Linked DNA regions of Canis lupus familiaris. The protein of the gene in region 2 binds, or shares a complex with, the protein of the main gene of each other region. Links are inferred from orthologs where the notes say so. Each region holds a gene or a part of one and is shown on either strand. Other genes may lie near its edges.

The links. Proteins that work in one complex are often made in the same cells at the same time.
Region 1: the proteins of KLHL12 (region 2) and PLEKHA4 are in contact, whole or in part, in a crystal structure (PDB 8OIO), measured with the Homo sapiens proteins. The link is inferred for Canis lupus familiaris from reciprocal best matches to the Homo sapiens genes KLHL12 and PLEKHA4. Residues at the interface, in NP_067646.1 of Homo sapiens: Phe289, Arg320, Glu417, Tyr434, Ile439, Phe481, His486, Cys511, Tyr512, Tyr528, Leu533, Cys558; in NP_065955.2 of Homo sapiens: Pro177, Gly178, Gly179, Pro180.
Region 3: the proteins of KLHL12 (region 2) and PEF1 are in contact, whole or in part, in a crystal structure (PDB 8RBH), measured with the Homo sapiens proteins. The link is inferred for Canis lupus familiaris from reciprocal best matches to the Homo sapiens genes KLHL12 and PEF1. Residues at the interface, in NP_067646.1 of Homo sapiens: Phe289, Gln293, Arg320, Tyr321, Leu371, Glu417, Tyr434, Ile439, Phe481, His486, Cys511, Tyr512, Tyr528, Leu533, Cys558; in NP_036524.1 of Homo sapiens: Gly15, Gln16, Ala17, Pro18, Gly19, Ala20, Pro21, Pro22.

What each region holds. Positions count from the first base shown.
Region 1 is NC_049222.1:108,168,850-108,172,349, reverse strand, and holds part of PLEKHA4 (pleckstrin homology domain-containing family A member 4), read right to left. Parts: intron 2,818-3,500; coding exon 2,745-2,817; intron 2,630-2,744; coding exon 2,529-2,629; intron 2,372-2,528; coding exon 2,262-2,371; intron 1,713-2,261; coding exon 1,497-1,712; intron 1,129-1,496; coding exon 849-1,128; intron 1-848. UniProt on the Homo sapiens protein: Binds specifically to phosphatidylinositol 3-phosphate (PtdIns3P), but not to other phosphoinositides.
Region 2 is NC_049228.1:385,584-389,790, reverse strand, and holds the start of KLHL12 (kelch-like protein 12), read right to left. Parts: upstream 2,801-4,207; 5' UTR 2,654-2,800; intron 2,353-2,653; exon of another isoform or gene 2,237-2,352; intron 767-2,236; 5' UTR 728-766; coding exon 533-727; intron 1-532. UniProt on the Homo sapiens protein: Substrate-specific adapter of a BCR (BTB-CUL3-RBX1) E3 ubiquitin ligase complex that acts as a negative regulator of Wnt signaling pathway and ER-Golgi transport.
Region 3 is NC_049223.1:68,875,895-68,879,394, reverse strand, and holds part of PEF1 (peflin), read right to left. Parts: intron 3,208-3,500; coding exon 3,052-3,207; intron 2,604-3,051; coding exon 2,460-2,603; intron 791-2,459; coding exon 561-790; 3' UTR 1-560. UniProt on the Homo sapiens protein: Calcium-binding protein that acts as an adapter that bridges unrelated proteins or stabilizes weak protein-protein complexes in response to calcium.

The sequences.
Region 1 (3,500 bases), on a different chromosome or scaffold from region 2:
TGATCCTGGGGCCCCGGGATCGAGTCCCACATCGGGCTCCCTTGTGTGAAGCCTGCTTCTCCCTCTGCCTGTGTCTCTACCTCTCTCTGTGCGTCTCTCATGAATAAATAAATAAAACCTTAAAAAAAAAAAAAAAACTGGGTCTCTGAACTTCAACTACTTGTTCTCCAGCTATGTACCACTGTGGGAACACATAGGATGATAATAAATGGACAAGCCTGGCAAAATTGCCCCAGAGGCTGATGAAAGTTGCAGTCTACTCTCACATTTGTGGTTAACTGTGGATATTCTGGGCTACAGTTCCATGATGCTCAGAGGAAATAGCAGGTAACCATCTTGGAAAGATAAACTGGAGACACAAAACGGATGCAATCACACCACGTCTCCCAGGATGGTCTTGGAATGACAGTATTCTGGACTACAACTCCCATAATACTTAAGGTGTAATGGTCAGAGACTGGGCTGAAAAGACAGCCCTGAGGGCTGATGGGAGATGAAGTCCACTTGCCCTCCCATCTGAACCCAGCCCTGATTATGTTGTGGTTTTTTTTTTAAGATTTTTTTAATTTTATTTATGAATGAGAGACACAGAGAGAGAGAGAGGCCGAGACACAGGCAGAGGGAGAAGCAGGCTCCATGCAGGGAGCCCGACGTGGGACTCCATCCCCCGTCTCCAGGATCAGGCCCTGGGCCAAAGGCAGGCACTAAACCGCTGAGCCACCGGGGCTGCCCCCAGCCCTGATTATGTTGAACCACAATCCCCATGGTGCCCAGGGGACCATGGCCTGCAGACCAGACCATGGCCATATGGGAAATGCAGTCCCCTTCACCATTACCTCGCTGCTCACCTGTGTTCTGGCCTCCTGACTCCAGTGCTGGGGACTCCTGGGGGGCCTTCCTCCCCCAGCCTCAGAGGAGGGTCCTCGCCGGGGGGTGGGTGGCCTGGACAGTGTTTGGCGCTGGAGAGGCCAATCCAGGGGAGGCCGGACATCGATGCGACTCAGAGGGGTATGGGGTCTGGCGAGAGGTGCTATGTCACCAGAGGATGGAGGGGGTCTGCGTACAGGAGCAGAACGGGGCCGGGGGAGGCTCAGAGGGGAGGGAGGGCGGGAGAGGGGTGTGAACAGGCTGTTGGGAGGAGAGAATAGGGGAACTGGGTGACCTAGAGCCCCCTTCCCCACTACCCACCCAGTCAGCCGCATGGGGACACATCCCCTTTCAGTGTGTCTCACTGTCCCTCTACAGTAGAACCCCACTCTATTACCCAGATACTGAATAATAATTTCTCCCTTTGTGGCATCTCCTCCTTAGGATATTCCCCCTATGGGTTCCGACCCCATGAGAACTCTAGCGACTCACATCCACTAAAGGGAGAAAGCACTAAGCCATATCCCGAAGCAGACCCAGTCCCCACCTCTTAGGCATGCCCTCAACATAGCTTTTCCTCTGACGCTCAGCCCTGTAGAACCTTCTGAACCCAGACTCCCTCAACTCACTCCGGGCTCCTGGTCCTCCGGATCCGAGGTCCAGACTGGAGATCAGCTATGGGGCTGGGAGTGAGCAGTCCGGGTCCTCCACGACCTCTGGAGAGCCGAGCCACCTCTGGTGACTCTAAGCCGTGTCTTTCTTCCCCTCTGGTCACCTCTGGGGGACCACCGGGGCCTCCAGGGCCCTCTCCAGGCTGGGGACGTGCAGGTGACCTGGGTCGTCCACTAATGAGTGAGCACAGAAAAAGACATCACTCCTTTGTACCTCATAACCAGCCCTCATTCCCATTTCGTGGATTAGCACACGGGAACCTACACAGAATAAAAGAAAGGGTAGGTGGTGCACTGTAAATTGTTGTTCCCACTTCGCAGATGGGAAAATCGAGGCCCTTCGTGTGGAAGTGACTAGTGTCAGGGCTACAAGGTCCATCCAGTCCCAGAGTCTCCAGCCTGAAACTTGGGGAAAGTCGGGACTTTCCTCTTATATTTGACATTCCTTAGGTGGCAGCCTCGGGGGTGGAGACTTCTGAGGGAGCCAATCAGAGAGTGTGGAATTTTGATGAAGGGGTGGGGCCTGACGAAACGGTGGGCGGTGTCTAGAAGAGAAAGACTTTTTGCTGATTGGAAGACAGGAAGGTCCCTGGAGGTGGGGCCTGAAGGGCGGCGTCTCCTTAGCCAGAAGTGTGATTGGCGTAAAGGGGAGGGGCTGTGGGATGGTTAGATGGGCTCAGATTGGAGGTGGAGGTCTGGGACGTGGCCAGGACCTGGACCCACCCGTCGTCCCCCTCCGCGCGAGAAGCCCGGCCCAGCGCCCTCAGCCAGCCCCGCAGGTCCTCCAGCGTGTCGGCGGCCAGAACATAGGTCCTCATGCCTGGGTGCTCAGCCTGCGGGGAGAGAGAGCTGGGGACCGGACGCCCGGGCCCTCCAAAAAGGAGGATGCCGTGGACCCTGGTCAAGCCTTTTTAGCTCCAATAATGAATGCTCCCCCGGCCGCCCCCACGGCCTAGCGCCTTAGTGCCCGCGGGGGATGGACAGACTCACGGTGAAGGTGAAGCGCCGCCCTCGCGGGGCCCCTGGGCCATCGGGCCTGATACTGTAGCTAGGGAGCAGGACGCTGCCCAGGACGCTCTCCTCGCGGCTGTCTGCAGAAGAGGGCTGGGGTCAGCGACAGCGCAGGATCTGAAGGCCAGGAGGCTAAGGGAAAGGGCGGGGGGGGGGGGGAGGGGGCGTCCATCCCTCCCCAGTCAGGGCACTGACCCTTGTAATAGAAGAGGCAATGGCCGGAGAGGACGAACCAGCGGCGTTTCCAGAGCCGCAGCCCCGAGCTGTCCTGGGGAAACAGAGAGAGAGGAGGCCTGAGTAGAGGGGGAGTGCGGAGAGGAAATGTGGAAAGGCAGACGGTGACACCCAGGGGGGCACCTGGGTGGCTCAGTCGGTTAAGAGTCTATCTTGGGCTCAGGTCATGATCCTGGGGTCCTGGGATCCAGCCCCACATGGGTTCCCTGCTCAGTGGGGAGTCTGCTTCTCCCTCTCTCCGCCACTGCCCCTCCCCACTTGTGCTCTCTGGCTATCTCTCTCTCTCTCAAATAAATAAGAAAGAAAGAAAGAAAGAAAGAAAGAAAGAAAGAAAGAAAGAAAGAAAGAAAGAAAGAAAGAAAGAAAGAAAAGAAAAGAAAAGAAAAGAAAAGAAAAGAAAAGAAAAGAAAAGAAAAGAAAAGAGAAAAGAAAGACAATACAAGACAGTGACACCTGGAGACAGAGAAACCCAGAGAGAGGAGAGGAACAGACACATGTCTGATGCAATAGATTGAGCTGGAGAGCTGGAAGCTAGAGTGTGGTGGCTGAGCTCACACAGATTCTGGACACAGTCAGACCTGAGTTGGTCTCCTAGCTCCACCCCTGTCAAACTATGCCATTAGACTAGTCATCTCCTGGCTAGATACTTGAGTTAATAGGGGATTGGGAAGTTACTGGAAGGTTGACATGAGCTACTATACAACACATAGGCAGGAA
Region 2 (4,207 bases):
TTCACACGCCTACACAGTCATGAAGTCATTAAGTCCTCCTCCCATCTGAAATCTACATGGGTAGAACAAATGTTGATTTTCTTCATCTACTGTTCGGTGGAGTTGGATGAGGACTGCATCTTCTCTCCTCCCCTTCCCTTTATCCCCCTAGTATTCACTTAAAAATATTTGATTTTAGAAGGAGAAAAAAAAAAAACAGCAAAACAATTTTTAGAAATAAGTAAAATCTAGTAGCTGACGTTTGTGTTTTACCACATGCCAGACACTGTTCTAAATACTTCAGATGTGGTTTTCTCAAAGAACTGTCACAATAACCGTGTGTGATCGCATACTGCTATCACCCTTGACTTAGAGATGGGGAAAATAAGACACAGTCAAAAGGCAGATTTGGACCAGACTCCGCCCACTAACCCACCATATACCATAGGAATTCACTACTACATCAAATTTCTACTATTTCATTCAGTGAAATGAGACAACTATAAGGTTACAAGTGTGAGTTCCATTTGCAAGCTGGTAACTTACCACTTACCTCACTAGTGAACATGGCGCAGAAGTAATCACTACAGGCAGCTAGCACAATTCGATGTGCGGGGAAGTCTTTCTGCTCTACTCTCAAAGTCACATCGCAGAGGGTATTGCTCTTCCGGAGAGAGTTCATTGAATTGAGGATGGATTTAGCATGAGTATTTGTCATTATGTCTTTGGGGGCCATAATGCCTCCCATCAAGCAATATGGAGAAAGAATGAAAGGGGTCCTTGGATTCTGCAAGTACAAGAGGAAAAAACCCAGAGCTCGCTTGAAGGACTAGGAGAACTAAACATATTCCACACAATTAAGCTACATAATTAAGGACGCTTCCTCAGACCCAAATGCAAGTAGAGGGTACGCCTATTACTGGTCTTCTCGCAACAATCCAGCCACTAACTATCCCAAGTAAACACAACCTCTTCCTCTGAATTCTAATATGGAGCGCCCCTAACACTTGACATTTATTACGATCAACACTCAACTATTGTAAATAGAAACCACACATATCTTGCATAGCTTCACAATGCTGTCATGTCAAATGATAAAATGAAAACATAAAACTTGGGCAGCCCGGGTGGCTCAGTGGTTTAGCGCCAACTTCAGCCCAGGGCCTGATCCTGGAGACCTGGGATTGAGTCCCACTCGGGCTCCTGCATGCCTGCTTCTCCCTCTGCTTGTGTCTCTTTGCTCCCCCCTCTCTCTGTGTCTTTCATGAATAAATAAAATATTTTTAAAAACCCCAAAATTTCCTAAAGGTGTGATTATCACTATTATTTAATATCCTTGAGTAGATTAAGTAGACAAGTATTTAGAAAATAGCCTTGTTTTATATATTTTTTCCTACCACAGGAGTTATTACTTAGAAATCAAATGCAAGAAAAGAAAAATTGTTTGACTTAGAGCGATAAAGGCCAGAGTCAGTGAAAGTGTACTTTTTTTCGAAAGAAGTATGCAAAATTATAACTTCCAAATATACCTGGATTTCTTCTTAAAATGATACGCTGAATAATGGAGACACTGCAAGCTTACCTATGGACTTTCACGTGATTAAGTTCTCGAAGCTTTTCTGCGGAAGGGCCTTCCCCCAATATGTTACTAGTAAACGTGCGGTAGGAATTCTCCTATACTGAAACTAAGAGCCTAACTACTAGGACAGAAACTTATTAAAACTCCATTACTAATTTTACTGCCATACCCAGTCGCTTGCAAAGTTCACTTGTATGCATCAATTAAATAAACTCAGTAACATATATTAAAAAAAAAAACACCAATGTACTTTTTACTTTGTTGACAGGCTTTTAGTGACACTTTTTTTTTTTTTTTTGTTTCAAGGAACAATTTCTGGGGGAATAAAATGGGATGGTTATTAAGAGAGTCTCATCTGGAATCTAAAACTTTCTGAAATAATCCAAGAAAAAAAAAATCAGAGTATGATCTTCACGGGTCCACGACTCGCACCCATCATTTCGGAGTAGCACACACAAGGTCCTGAGTGCTCCCCTCCCCTAACCCTATGTCAGCACAGCATCCCACGAGCGCCCTGCATGGCCTCCCCGACAGCCTGCAACATCCATGTCGCAGGGTAAGAGCTGATCCACCGAAGCCTGTGGCAGTTTCCGAAGAGACTGTCCTGGAGCCTACTTACTCGTGGCCCCGGAGATGGGACAGGAGCCTGCACGGACGCCCGATTGCGGGAAAGCTCACCTGGGCAGGCTCGTGGGCAGGCACCAGGGCAGGCTCGTGGGCAGGCACCAGGGCAGGCTCCTGGGGAGGCACCTGGGCAGGCTCCTGGGCAGGAACCAGGGCAGGCACCAGGGCACGCACCTGGGCAGGCTCCTGGGCTCGGCCGGGCCCGGGGTCCACGGCTTGGGCGTCCCACCGCGGTCACCGGGGCGCAGGGCAGGCTTCCTGCTGCGGTTCCCGCCCCTCGCGCCCCGGCCTCGCCGGTCACCCTCACCCTAACATCCGGCAGGGGCTCCACGGAAGGTCCGGGGGAGGCGCCCAGGCGGAGAAGGGGAGGAACCCGGCCGCAGGCCTCCCTCCGCCGCCGGCGCCCGCGCGTCCCACCCCGGGGGAGAGGACGGCCGGGCGGGGGGGTGGGGCACAGCCGCGCCGACTCACCTCGGCTCCAGCCACGAGGGCTCGCCGGGCCCGTCCCCCGCCCGCGGGGACCCCGAGGGGCGCGGGGCCAGCAGGCGGCTCAGGAGGAGCCCAGGCGCCGCCGCCGCCCCCACCCGCAGGCTCCGGAGCCGTCACCGTGGTCGCCCGGGCTCGGCGCTCCGCGGCCGCGCGGCGTGATGACGCAATGCAGCGCGAGGCCCCGCCCCGGCCGCGTCACGTGAGCAGACGGCGCCACGTGACCTCCGGGCGCCCGGGGGCGGGGCCGCGGGAGCATCCCGCTGCGGAGGCGCAGGTTGCTGCAGGGACTGTTACCTGCCCGGTGTCCCGGAGCCCTCGCACCTCGAGGAAACCCGCGGGCGCCTCCAGGTGCTTCACCACAGCGGCCTTGCCCCGTGGGCCACGGCAGCGGCGAGAATCCCGAGCCCTGCGACCCACGGACCTCGGCGTTCTCGGCATCACAGTGGGCCTGTCATCCCCTTGAGGTGGTTCTCCGCCACCTGCACCACCCGCACCTGGACGACCAAGTGGAGGGAGTTTAGGGTCCCCAGTGTTGGGCGCCGTGAGGGGGAGCGCCGAGGATCCCAGGAGTCATCCATCATTTCCCCTTTGTCTTCTGGCGACTTTTCACCAGCTCCTGGGTGCGGAGTGTCCACTTCAGGAATTTTGCTTCGAATCCACTCTGGCAGTTACCTTAGTGCTTCAAAGGGCAATGGGGCTCCTCGATTCAACTTCTGTCAATGTCCAAACTAATTATGCTTAATTATACAGCAGTTGCCCCTTCACTAGGCCCCCAGGGGATGCCTGAAACCATGCAGAACACTGAATACTATTTATGCTGTTTTTTCTTATACCTGCAAATGAAGTTTAATCGATAAGCTAGGCACAGTACGAAATTAACATTAGCTAATAACAAAACAAGTTGCATGAAAGTGGTTTCTAAAGATGTTGTATCATGCCCACTCTTCTCATGGTGTGGAGATGATCAAATGCCTACGTGAGATGAACGGAGGGGTATGATGTAGACACCGTGACAGAGGTTAGGATACCCACTGACCCGGCAACATGTCCGCAGATCATCTGCTTCCAGACGGCAGTGGCTACTGGTAACAGATGTGCAGAAGGGAGAACCATGGTACTGTTTTCCTTTGCAGAGCCTTTGATTTATGGATAATAAAATGATAGCCAAAAAAAAATTTTTTTTAAAAATGATAGCCAAGTGGGTAGCAATCTAATTTTACATAGTGTTTCCATGTTTCATATCATACCTCTCTGATCCTACAGCATCCCTGATTGGGGCACCTGGGTGGCTCAGTTGGTTGAGACACGGACTCTTGGTTTCCGCTCAGGTAGTGATCTCACGGTCGTGAGACTGAACTCCACCTTGGGCTCCCTGCTCAGTAAGGAGTCTGCTGCTGTTCCCCCTTCACTCCTGTTGTGTGCAGGTACTCTCTCGAAAATAAATATTTTTTAAAAAAGATCTTGACAGGGATGCCTGGGTGGCTCAGTGGTTGAGTGTCTGCCTTCTGGCCCAGGGCGTGACCCCGGAGTCCCGGA
Region 3 (3,500 bases), on a different chromosome or scaffold from region 2:
ACCCAGGCAGCCAGAAGTCAATACACATGGATTTGGGGCATGGGGTTGGTGGGATCCAAGCCGCTTGGTCCTGCAGACAAACCTCTCTCATGCTTGGTTAGCTTCCACTTTGGAGAAACTGGATTCATCTGACAAGATGAGATGCGTGAGGGAGCTCAAGTGCTAACAGCAAAAGGCTGATGACGACTACCACTGGTGTCAGGGCGCAGAAGGAAAAGCTACAGGCTAGAGCCCAGCTGACCAGACACTAACTCCCCTGCAGTGACTGGCATCTCCTGCTCCTGGCATAAGGCTGGGCCATTTAGATACTCAGGACTCTAAGGACATTCAGCTTCCAGTCCTCTCTTAGGTCAGGCCACTACCTGTGTGGCTTCAGCCCAGGTCCCTGTTATTTGGTTGACTGTGACACGGGATTCCCAGCCCTCTTTGGAAACAGTGCTGCATCAGGCAAGGATCTTTTTCTAGGAGGGGCAGGAAAAGAGGAGAGGCCCACATGCCTCTCCAACCCTCAGGAGCCAGGAAAGGTCCCCAGTACACCCACTCTCTCCAGATGGGCTGCATCATAGCATCCGAGAAGCTGTCATGGTGACGAAGTCCTCGAAGCTGAGCCGAATGTTGCCCTGCACGGCTGTGTCCTTCTCCCTGAAGGCCTCGGTCAGCACCTGCAGCTGGGTGCACACCTGGATGAAGCGGTCTAGCTGCATGGCAGGGTTGGCGGAGCGTGGGCAGTAGCGGGAGACCAGGAGCTGGGTGAACTGGGGGCTCAGGTTGTAGCCCATCTGGGACAGAGCTGCAGAGGAGGGGCACACAGAGCAGACACAAAACCTTGCCTTGAGCACCGCCATCAGCCAGCTCTGGGGAGCACGGCAGTGCAGGGGACTGTGAGGAGACACGCACCAGAACAGAGGAGACAGAAGTCCCTGGGGTCTGTCAGAGACGGCAGGAGCCCAAGAGGGGCTCTCTCTGGATGCTCCCCTTAGCTGGAAGGCCCCAATCCCTTTCTCCAAATCTCCATTACTGTCTGTTTAATCAGGCCCATAGGATCCCAGAATGACAGAGGGCTAGCCATGCTCATCTGTGACTCATCCGCACTAGAGAAGGAAGCCTGAGCCCCCAGGGAGCCCCCTGCCCAGGGCAGACATCAGAGGCAGTGTGGCCCAGAGGCAGACATGATAGGCCTGCTCTGGAGTCAACACAGCCCCTTGGGCAAGTTGCTTAACCTTGCTAATCCTCCATCTTATCATCTCTAAAATGAGGATGAGACTTAGTTTGTAGGTTCTAGTAAGGATTAAAGGAGGTTATTCTGTGAAGCACTTGGCATAGTGCTTGATACATAATAAGCACTCAGTGTTACTTGTTAAAAATAAAATCATCATCATGTCCTAGGAAAGGCTGCTGGGCAATTCCAAGGTCACAGCCTTCGTGCTCCTCTGTCCCTCCACCTGGGTGGGAGGCTTCCTTTCTTCCTCTCCGTGTATCTACCAGCCCAGGCTAAAAGCTCCCCTTTTGCTCTGTGGCCCTGAGGCAAGTCGCCTAAACTCGGCCTCGGTTCTCTCATCTGTAAAAGGGCAATAGTAAGAGATCCCTCACCTAAGAATGGGGAAGAACAGACAGTAGCTATCACACGGGGAGAGTGAATGAAGTGCTTACTTGTGTTGACACAACAAGCAGTCAGTAAATATAAATTTTGTTGTGATAGTATCACTCTCACCAATATCTGTAACGGGACTGGGCAAAAGAGGAGGTGATCAGTACAGGTCATGTCCTTTCCCCTCAATGGGTGCAGCCACGGTGAGCTCACCCCCACCCCCACTTAGTCTCACTGAAATCCACAGCCAGGGCAAGGGGCCGGGTTCTCTGGAGAGCCCTTTCTCCCTCCCAGGTGGCAAAGCTCCCCGTCAGATTCTTATCACCCCACTAACCACCCATCTTCTCAAGTCAGTATTGGAACCAGACCTGGAGCTATGGCCTCAGGTCATCTTGGTCTACTGCAACTTTTAGTGTGATCTCGGTCCCAGAGTTGGGAAGGAAACTGCCTTCTAGCAGAGCTGGCAACAGAAACCACCTTTCTGAGTCCCTATACAGGGCTCTTTCCATTCTTTATGCTAGCAACTAGAGAGGAAAGAGCCCCATGAGCCCCACATGCTGACTTCCAGGTCCCCTGGGCTGCTGAGTTCCCATCCCCGAGGCTCCTTTCCGGCTGGGTCTGTCTCACCTAGCAGAGCCAGGAGGACCATCACAAGGGAGTGCAGGCCTCATCCTGGAACCAGGTGCTCCCTTCCCCTGGATCTTGGCTCAGTGCCCCAGCCAGATCACAGAATGGATGCGGAGTGGGCCTGTGTTGAGGACAGCACATGGACAGCTGGTAGTCAGAAGCTAGAGGAACCCCCTTCCCTGTCACAGAGAGCAAACAAAGAAGTCCAGCTTTGCCTGTCCAGGGTCCCTACCATGGTCCCCACCTTGCTGCAGTTCCGTGTGGCTAATGGAGCCTGAGCGGTCCCGGTCATACTGCTGGAAGAGGTTCTTCCACTGCTGGATGAACTTCCACAGGGCTGAGAAACCATAGACGTCGATGCGGCCTGACTTCGTCTTGTCAAACATGTCTTGGGGAGAGAAGGAATGGAGGGAAGAAAAACTTCGAGACTGAGGGCCAGAGTAGGAGACTCCCCAGAACCTCAGGCCTGGGGCCCAGATGCCTGGACCTGAGACATACTCTCGTCAAGTGCGGACCAGCCCCCACCTGGGCCACTCTCAGCCCTAGCCCTTCCAGAACTGCAGTTTCTCTGCAGGCCTGGCAGCTGACTCCCTCCATGCCATCTGCCACCAATGCAGGGAGTCCCATTCTGCAGAGCGGAAAAGTGAGCCTGTGACTCCACAAGGTCTGGAACTTGAGAAAAAAATCAAAGGGAAAGAGCTCTCCTTCTAGAGGATTTCACCTTGAACCCAAATTCCTGCCTGAAAGATTTCTCCTCCAAATGGCTGCCCACCCACCGTCAGATAGTAGGGAGCTCTCCCCCCCCCCCAAGCCCATGGGGAAGGGCTAGGACTTACTAATCATCATGAGGCATGTCTCGTCATTGAAAGAGGACCAGTTGGAGTTGACCAGAGCCTGCTTCAGCTCCTTGATGGAGATGTAGCCACTGTGATCGGAGTCCACTGACTGGAACCAGGAGTAAGCCTCAGGATCCACATTGGGAGGAATGCCACCTGCACAAAGGGATGCAAACCAGAGGAGTCAGAGGCAGGTCTCAAGGCCAATCCAAAGACATGCTGGGAGGACCAGGCCCAGTGCCTCCCTGGGGACAGTTATCCCTTACCCACAAAGCCTCACAAGTCCACCTACCCTGCCTTCCATCAAGCCAACAGCCTTGCTCTGATGGAAGAGGACCTTGGATGTAAACGCTATGAGTATTTGTATCTGGCTTCTATTCTGTGAATCTGCTGGGATTTTCCTACAGTGTTTCAGTCATTTCTCTCTTTGATCTTAAGTTTCTAAGGAA